2 linked regions of the Saccharomyces cerevisiae S288C genome follow. The gene in region 2 interacts genetically with the main gene of each other region. Each region holds a gene or a part of one and is shown on either strand. Other genes may lie near its edges.

Region 1 (6,062 bases), on a different chromosome or scaffold from region 2:
GAAAAGAACAGATATGTTGAAGAAGTTATTAAAATTCTTGAAATGGAAAAATATGCTGATGCTGTTGTTGGTGTTGCTGGTGAAGGTTTAAACGTTGAACAAAGAAAAAGATTAACCATTGGTGTTGAATTAACTGCCAAACCAAAACTGTTGGTCTTTTTAGATGAACCTACTTCTGGTTTGGATTCTCAAACTGCTTGGTCTATTTGTCAGCTAATGAAAAAGTTGGCAAATCATGGTCAAGCAATTCTATGTACTATTCACCAACCCTCTGCTATTTTGATGCAAGAATTCGATCGTTTACTATTTATGCAACGTGGTGGTAAGACTGTCTACTTTGGCGACTTGGGCGAAGGTTGTAAAACTATGATCGATTATTTTGAAAGCCATGGTGCTCATAAATGCCCTGCTGACGCCAACCCAGCTGAATGGATGCTAGAAGTTGTTGGTGCAGCTCCAGGCTCTCATGCAAATCAAGATTATTACGAAGTTTGGAGGAATTCTGAAGAGTACAGGGCCGTTCAATCTGAATTAGATTGGATGGAAAGAGAATTACCAAAGAAAGGTTCGATAACTGCAGCTGAGGACAAACACGAATTTTCACAATCAATTATTTATCAAACAAAATTGGTCAGTATTCGTCTATTCCAGCAATATTGGAGATCTCCAGATTATTTATGGTCGAAGTTTATTTTAACTATTTTCAATCAATTGTTCATCGGTTTCACTTTCTTCAAAGCAGGAACCTCGCTACAGGGTTTACAAAATCAAATGTTGGCTGTGTTCATGTTTACGGTTATTTTCAATCCTATTCTACAACAATACCTACCATCTTTTGTCCAGCAAAGAGATTTGTATGAGGCCAGGGAACGCCCCTCAAGGACTTTTTCTTGGATTTCATTTATCTTCGCTCAAATATTCGTGGAAGTTCCATGGAATATATTGGCAGGTACTATTGCTTATTTTATCTACTATTATCCAATTGGATTTTACTCCAACGCGTCTGCAGCTGGCCAGTTGCATGAAAGGGGTGCTTTATTTTGGTTGTTCTCTTGTGCTTTCTACGTTTATGTTGGTTCTATGGGTCTGCTTGTCATTTCATTCAACCAAGTTGCAGAAAGTGCAGCTAACTTAGCCTCTTTGTTGTTTACAATGTCTTTGTCTTTTTGTGGTGTTATGACTACCCCAAGTGCCATGCCTAGATTTTGGATATTCATGTACAGGGTTTCACCTTTGACTTATTTCATTCAGGCTCTGTTGGCTGTTGGTGTTGCTAACGTAGACGTCAAATGCGCTGATTACGAATTGCTAGAATTCACACCACCATCCGGTATGACATGTGGGCAGTACATGGAACCATATTTACAACTAGCAAAGACTGGTTACTTAACTGATGAAAATGCCACTGACACCTGTAGTTTCTGTCAAATATCTACAACCAATGATTACTTAGCTAATGTCAATTCTTTCTACAGTGAGAGATGGAGAAATTATGGTATCTTCATCTGTTATATTGCATTCAATTATATCGCTGGTGTCTTTTTCTACTGGTTAGCAAGAGTGCCTAAAAAGAACGGTAAACTCTCCAAGAAATAATAGAATTTTGAATTTGGTTAAGAAAAGAAACTTACCAAGATGGACTTTTTTAATAAACATACATAATCACTACATATAGGTGCGTAATAATAAGTTTTTATTTTTTTTTTCTTAATTCAGCGAGCTTTCTACATTTCAATTTTCTTGAATTTACCAGCTCTGATAAATCAAAGTTCAATGTCCGAAAGAATTCCGAGAATTTTATTCCTAGGTTATCTCATCGGTACTTTTTTTTTATAGGCATCAGCATTTAGTGTGAAAACATTATTTCTTAACTGTGCCTTACGGTTAAAAAGAAAGGACGCAATGGATATAGTTAAAATATAAGATATATTATATCATTATCTGTCCGAATGGCGAACCGTCTTCTCATATACGGCCTTATTTTGTGGGTAAGTATAATCGGATCTTTTGCATTAGATAGGAACAAAACTGCTCAAAATGCGAAGATTGGTCTACATGATACCACTGTGATCACGACTGGAAGTACAACGAACGTGCAGAAAGAACATTCCTCACCACTATCCACCGGTTCTTTAAGAACCCATGATTTTAGACAGGCCTCTAAAGTTGACATACGGCAGGCTGACATACGGGAAAACGGTGAGAGGAAAGAGCAAGATGCACTAACACAGCCTGCAACACCAAGGAATCCGGGCGATTCGAGTAATTCATTTTTATCGTTCGACGAATGGAAGAAGGTCAAGTCGAAGGAGCACTCATCAGGCCCTGAACGTCATCTTAGTCGAGTGAGGGAGCCAGTCGATCCCTCTTGCTATAAAGAGAAAGAATGCATAGGAGAAGAGTTGGAAATCGATTTGGGGTTTTTGACAAACAAAAACGAGTGGAGTGAAAGAGAAGAAAATCAAAAAGGATTCAATGAGGAAAAGGACATAGAGAAAGTTTACAAAAAAAAATTCAACTATGCATCCTTGGATTGCGCTGCAACAATTGTCAAAAGCAATCCAGAAGCGATTGGAGCGACTTCTACGTTAATTGAGAGCAAAGACAAGTATTTACTGAATCCCTGTTCAGCTCCGCAGCAATTCATTGTTATAGAGCTTTGTGAAGATATCCTGGTGGAGGAAATTGAAATTGCTAATTACGAATTCTTTTCCTCGACCTTCAAGAGATTTAGGGTGTCAGTTTCTGATAGAATACCGATGGTTAAAAATGAATGGACAATATTAGGAGAATTCGAGGCAAGAAATTCAAGAGAACTACAAAAGTTTCAAATACATAATCCCCAAATCTGGGCAAGTTATTTGAAAATCGAAATTCTATCCCATTATGAGGACGAATTTTATTGTCCCATATCCTTAATCAAAGTATATGGTAAATCAATGATGGATGAGTTTAAGATCGATCAACTAAAGGCTCAAGAGGATAAAGAACAATCCATAGGAACTAACAATATAAACAATTTGAATGAACAAAATATCCAAGACAGATGTAACAATATAGAAACGCGTTTAGAGACTCCAAACACAAGCAATCTCTCAGACTTAGCTGGTGCATTATCATGTACTTCAAAGCTCATCCCTTTGAAGTTCGATGAATTTTTCAAGGTGCTTAATGCATCCTTTTGTCCTTCCAAGCAAATGATATCTTCTTCTTCTTCTTCGGCTGTTCCTGTAATTCCAGAAGAATCCATTTTTAAGAACATCATGAAAAGGCTGTCACAACTGGAGACAAATTCTAGTTTGACAGTTTCTTACATTGAGGAACAGAGCAAACTGCTATCTAAATCGTTTGAACAACTTGAAATGGCGCACGAAGCAAAGTTCAGTCATCTTGTCACGATATTCAACGAAACAATGATGAGTAATCTAGATCTGCTGAATAACTTTGCCAATCAATTGAAAGATCAATCTTTACGTATATTAGAAGAACAGAAACTGGAGAATGACAAATTTACTAACCGTCATTTATTGCATTTGGAAAGATTGGAAAAAGAAGTCAGTTTTCAAAGAAGAATTGTTTATGCGTCATTTTTCGCCTTCGTAGGGTTGATATCCTATCTATTAATAACGAGAGAGCTTTACTTTGAAGATTTCGAAGAGAGCAAAAATGGCGCTATTGAAAAGGCAGACATTGTTCAACAAGCAATCAGATGAATCCTAGAGGGCCCATAATCATAATTCTAAGCATAATTCATTCAAGATGAAAAAATCCACCGCCATATATGAGGTGTTTCTATAGGAAATATCTATATACTTTTATAGTCCTAATTTCATTTTACATAAACTGTTTTAATCAGTTTCTAATAATCTATGAAGATAATTCACTGTTTCTTGAGGGGATGCTATCCAGAGGGTACATCCAGCTAGCCTTGCCTTAAAATCATTTGCTGATCCCACCGGTGCAAACTGATCGCCTACGTGTAAGGTTTCAGAGGGTTGGATAGGAGATTCAGGGTTATAAAATTGTTGCAATGAACGAACACCAAGATCTTTCCCCCCAATATCACACCAGACATCACTACCACCATCAAAACAACTAAATTGAATTCTTCTAGATGGGGCAAAAGACTCTAAAGTGTTTTGAAGGGTTAAAACTATTTCCTCCAGTTGTTCCCTATCAAGCTTAACAGGAACTTGTCTTTTAGAAGCTTCATCGTACCGTTCGCCTGGGACGATACCCACTGCCCTGACTTTACGGATAATAGAAATCTCTGAAGGTAGGTTTAGTCTTTTTCTTAACCTGTTAAGAGTTCTCTCGGCAAAGTCCAAAGTCTTTTCCACGTCCTCGAGGGACCAAGCCTTCATTCTAGGCAATAGCCATTCCTCTTTGTCAATTTGTCTAAAGCCAAAGTTATCTTCCTCCGGGTCTTCATAGTAACGGAAAAGGTAACTCGACTCACCACCCATTATTGTTAAATTCTGCTTTTGAGAAACTGGTATATCAGTTGAATCATGTAATGCAACAATTAATCCTTTCAATCTGTTCTCATAGGTTCCAGCTTCATCATATCCGGCCGCAGTGACTATTCCCACATTGATACCGCACCGCAACAGCTTGAGAATATAAGGAATTACAGGATTAGTGTAAACCAGGGAGCCACCATCTTCATACAGCGTCACATCTCCATCAAAAGTCACTAATCTCAAAACCTTACCATTATGTAAGTTCTCCTGTTTCTTAAAGTGAAATATCTGTGCAGTATTCAGGATATGCCTGATATCATTAAAACTGGGTGCTACCATTCTACGCGCCGAAATGGCCCGTTGTGAGTCTTCCCATAGAAAAGCTTGTTCCAATGGAAGTTCCGTAAAGAATGTTCCAATTGATGGAACCAAAAGATTTAAACGCGATTGTCCTAATATATTCAGAGATTGAGAAGAGGCGCCATCTTCAATTTCGTCTTGGCTCATGTTTCTTGAGTCAAATTCTATTTTATCTTTAATCAGCCCTTCAATGTCTTTAAAGATATCAGCATACTGCGACCTTACACGTTGAGTTGTTGCTAAGTCGTCATTGTAGTCACCTTCATGAGAGACGGCATGTAGAACAAAAGGTGAGGCCAGTAGCCCCTTTACCCAATCTATAAACTCATCCTTGCGGTGGCTCTTCAAATGATATTCCACTCTATATCTTGAGGACATTGCTATTATAAGTTAACTCACGATCTTTTGTTACTTTCTTTGAATAGTTTTCTTTTCTTAGTACATTCCTTTACCTTTTAAATTTTGTTAATTTAAGGGCGGCCTGTCCCGCTAAACGTGGGAAGTGAAAGGACATGAAATATTATAGTGTAATACAGGAAGTATACAGAGAAATCTATAGAAACCTATCACTGCAGATTCGCACACTACACCCATGAAGTAACCACAGTAGTAAAAAAACATAACAAAAGTCGTAATATTTATCAAAACAAAAACATCATTTACGCCCAAAAGTGGAAGTCAATATTAAGAGCGAAATGAAACAATAGAAATAAAAATAGAATACAATCGGAAAGGAAAGAAATCAAAAGACGGTTAATCAATCTGATGTTAAATCGACCACTTCCGAGTTATCTTGAGCCGATGTGTTAAAGTCATTAGTTTGGGCCAGAGTTTTATTCATTATGGCGTGATTTGCCTGTGGTCTCCGTTTCATAAGGGTGGCGTATGGATTCTTCGGAATGTAGATAGAAACATTAGAATGCCTTCTCTTCCTAATTTTTCCATCATCCCCATGGCCGCTGGTGCTCACGTGTATATATGGAGGGAGATGTGCCGCCGATGTGGTCCTTGTTGGTAGTTCAGTTTCTGCTTCTGAATTTGGGTCCACAGGGGGGATTGGAGGCAAATCACCTTCGATTCCCAAAAGATTACGATCTTGAGCTGTGGTATTGTAATTAGGTCCGTAGGGGTTTCTCTGCGCTTCCGTTTGATTAGTCAAATTTTGTAGAACAGCCGGTAATAGTGGCGTTGATGGCCCTCTATTGTAGAATATTCTGCTGTCACCATTCGTCGCCGTAA
Region 2 (3,985 bases):
TATGTTGATAGCCTGTGGTGCTATAAGTGCCTATAATGATCCATCTAAATTTGTCTTTAAGGGGTATAGCTTTATTCTGACTAAACGATTGGTCGTTAAAGGAGTACTAGTGACAGATAATATTGATGATTTTCCAAAGGCATTAGATAAATTGGGTTCTCTGGTTAAGCATGGTAAGATTGACCTCTTGAAATCCGCTACCCTTGAAGATGGTACCGGTGATAAGTTCAAGAATGTTCCATTGATATGGAAGGGTCTATTTAGCGGTGTTAATAAAGGTAAACTTATTACCAAGGTTAACAATGAGGAGTGATTTTACACAAAAAGTTTAAGATATGACTATATTATTTTTATTATTGTATCTACTTCGTTTTGGCTCTTATAATTTTTTAGTGGCCTAAATTTTCAAAGGAAAAATTTATTGAATATTTTGAATGATATTTAAACTCTATATTTTGAAATCTATACATTGAATACATATAAGATAAACTGTGTTGCTCTTATTGTATATCTAGCTTATAGGAAATAGGCTCTCGTGTCTCCTCACTAACGTAATCAGCAACACCGATGAATTTATTCCAAAATTTGTATACCTTCATCAAAGATAATTCCCAGATGTTCCTGGGTAAATCCAAATAGCTTCTATAAATAAATCTGAATGCTTCTAAAACGTTGTTAACTTCAGTATTCCAAGCTTTCTTCCATTTATTTACTGTACCGTTAGAGGGCCTTGGAACTATTTCTGCTTTGGGCATTTTTAAATCATCAAATACATGTGATTGAGAATTGTTAGTCTTTTTCTTTCCTTCTTTAGTGGAATTGATGTTCTCTATGGTGTAACGAATCGATTTGCCTGCCTCCTTCAAAATGTTGAAGAAGTTATTTTGGAAGAATGAGCTTAACCTGTTTTCAGAACCGTTTAACCTTTTCCCGTACATTTTTTCGAACATGTTAACAGATTCAATAGATTCAGATAATCTACCGAAAGTCTGTAATAGTGCAATCAACTCATATTTGGTTAACTTACCAACAATATGTTGTTTGGTGAATTCATCAGCGTCGTTGATTTCAAACAAAATTTTCAAGGCAGTTGCGTAACCGGTAGTTTGAATTTTGCCCCACAATCTACATCTATCACATTGCACACAATCCATAATCTTCGTGACATTCTTGAAGCGAGATCTGAATTCGTCCTTCAAAGTCAAACTTAGGTCGTTGGCAAAAACTAAGTCTTCGTTAAAAATTTTTGTGTCCAGCTGGGAAATAACGTTATCCATTTTGTTTTTGATTTCTTTATTGACTAGATCACAGAATGAAAATTCTGGTAAATATGGTTGAATTTTCCAGAGAGCCTTAGCTACAACAGCATAATTGAAATACATGTTTGTCACTCTATCAGGAAAGTTCCCGATTCTTGCCATAAACAAATCCAGATTGGGCTCCCATTTACCAGTTTTCGTGTTCAAATATTCCTTTGATAAGTGAGTACCGATAGAGGCATGGAAACCGGATACAAGTCTATAAAATGCATCTTTGGCCAATGATTCACCAGTTTCGCCAATTGTAAAACAGTTGTCTTGGTAGATAGTAGACCAAATTTGACCAGCTTGCTTACCACCATAACCTGTAAATCGTTCCGGATTTGCTGTTAAATCAATCAGAACGGCGTTTTTACCGTTAAAGTCATTTACATCACAGTAGTTGATGGTGTCTTCGATATCTACAGGTTTTTTACTGGTTTGACATAGTTGATCTAAGAACTTACATTCGTCATCGCTATCATCCGCTTCCTTCATTGTATCATTATTGAAACTACCCAAGATCTCAGGCTGCCAGTACTCAGGCAGTGTATCCCAGTCCTCTACGACATCAACAGAGCAAGCGCGGTTTAAGCACAGACCATCGTTGGCGTCCCAAAATGAACATTGCTTGTATAAATCCAGCCGAAAGTATTTGAAGAAATCAGATTTTAATAACGCCGAAAGATCATCTCTAATGTTTTCATTTATGGCATTTAATTCATTGAATGTTACGTTACAACTGGGACTAACGTGATCATTCCTGTCGACCTTACAAAAGTGAGTGTCATTAAAGGCATTTTGTGTTTGGTCGGTGGCGATGTAGCTATTGTTTGAAGTTGCAGATGTAAAAGCCGTGAGGCACAGTGTGGCAATGGCGGTTCTTAATCTCATGTTTTACCTGCACGTTACTGTGGTATATGCAATAAAATGTTTACACTCTTGAAATAGTATAACCAGTTTAAGTGGTAAACCTTTTCAAGCTCTTTATACTTAGCTTCAAGGATGATTGAACAAGTTTTTATGACACGTACTCCGTATCGTTTCTTTTTTGTTCTCTTCTTTTCTTTTTGTTCTTACTAACGCCCAAAGCCGGAAAAATGCGAAAAATTTCCAGGGTCTTCTATAAGAGAAACCAAAGGACAAAGGGAAAAGGACATACTTAGCAGGTAGCTCAATATTATTTGTTTAATTAGAACAGTCTTCTCTTTGTGTATGTCTTGTACCATTGTCTGTGGTATTCTCGATTTGTGTAGAATACATTTGCCATAAAATGTCAGTAGACCTTTTCTCTGATACGCAGTGAATATATCAATTCTCCTACATATCCTATTGTTCATTGAAAATATGAAAAGTAAGCATTACTCAATAGATAGATAAGAAAATGATCTCGTTTCAGTTGTGAATATGTTTCAGAAGAAATGTCTTGATAGTATTGGTAATGTAGGATGGGCAAACCATATGTAAGGTAGGTGGTTGGCAATTTACTTTTTTTGTGTTGCCAGTATGTATATATGCTTTTGGGGGGCCTTAATGTTTACCTTCAAGGTACGATATTTAGCAAGCATTTCTAGTTCTTTATGTGGTGAATAAGTAATGTGTGTGTGAACTATGGCTACTGGATGACTATATTCGGCATTAGTATTTAATAAGGGTACGACTCTGAAGTATCAGAGTTGCATCATTTCAGACACACTGGAGGGATCCTGTTATATATTTTGAAATAAATAATGTACAATTTTACGGGTGTACACAGCACAAAAAGGAACGTATTCTTACCGCCGTGTTCTTTCCATCACGAAAGTGACTTCATTGCGATGTATTTTTCAGCAAGAATTAAGGTAATAAGATCTCTTCACAAAGCTGACTCAAAAGGCCTACATAATGGCAGTAAGAAAAAGTAAACAGCGAGAAATAGTCAGATAAAAAACTAGATGGCGAATAGACGACATTTTAGAAGAAAAGTGTTTCAGCCTTTGGCCTCAAACCTCAGTGGCAGTCTTTCCCCTGATAAGGAATAGGAAGGCATGCAGCGATATATATGTTAGTTTTGCCTACGGGAATCCGGCAGCAATGTTATTTATTTTTGTTGTTTCTTATGATTTAATTATTATATACAGGTTCGTAAATATTGGCATGATAATGAGGAGAAGGTGGAACCAGCACACTACGTCGATGGAGGCCCTTAGAATATAGTGCAACACTTAAAAATGTAATCTAGTACTTTTTCTTCATTTTATTAGCACTGGGTTCTCGCAGTTTACTCGGTAGGAGGTGCAGTAGGACTTTGCAGTTGTTGATTGTCTTCTTCAAGTGCCTTTTGTTGGGTCACTTGTTGTTCGTACTTCTTACCGTTCATGTATAAAGTGTAAGCTAAGCCACCCGACATGTATAACGTACCACCAACCAACGTCAGTACCGTTAGACGATGTAATGTATCTGTAACTCTGGTATACCAAGCGTATTTGGACATGACTATCTGCGTTCTATTTTTTGTTCTCTTCCTCTCACCATTGCCAAACCGCTGTATAGATTTATGCTCCTTTCAATGCATTTATTCTGATCCTCTCCGATTTCGTATACCGGGTAACATTAATCGCAAGGAAGGAGAAGCAAAGCTCAGAAGTAAGGAAGAACTTCGAAATCTGCTTCCGAGAGTGAGGAAATAGTGTTTTCTAAAGAGTGTA

The links. A genetic interaction does not mean that the proteins touch.
Region 1: mutations in ERO1 (region 2) and SLP1 together harm fitness more than expected from each alone (negative genetic interaction), as found in Saccharomyces cerevisiae (2 studies listed by BioGRID).

What each region holds. Positions count from the first base shown.
Region 1 is NC_001147.6:622,780-628,841, forward strand, and holds SLP1 (Slp1p), read left to right. Parts: upstream 1-1,949; coding exon 1,950-3,713; downstream 3,714-6,062. Other genes in the region: ATP-binding cassette multidrug transporter PDR5, read left to right, coding at 1-1,596; ISN1 (IMP 5'-nucleotidase), read right to left, coding at 3,849-5,201; SUMO ligase NFI1, read right to left, coding at 5,581-6,062. UniProt on the Saccharomyces cerevisiae protein: May be involved in membrane protein folding. Required for localization of MPS3 to the nuclear envelope.
Region 2 is NC_001145.3:10,983-14,967, forward strand, and holds ERO1 (ER oxidoreductin), read right to left. Parts: upstream 2,193-3,985; coding exon 501-2,192; downstream 1-500. Other genes in the region: YML131W (uncharacterized protein), read left to right, coding at 1-313; COX14 (Cox14p), read right to left, coding at 3,559-3,771. UniProt on the Saccharomyces cerevisiae protein: Essential oxidoreductase that oxidizes proteins in the endoplasmic reticulum to produce disulfide bonds. Acts by oxidizing directly PDI1 isomerase through a direct disulfide exchange.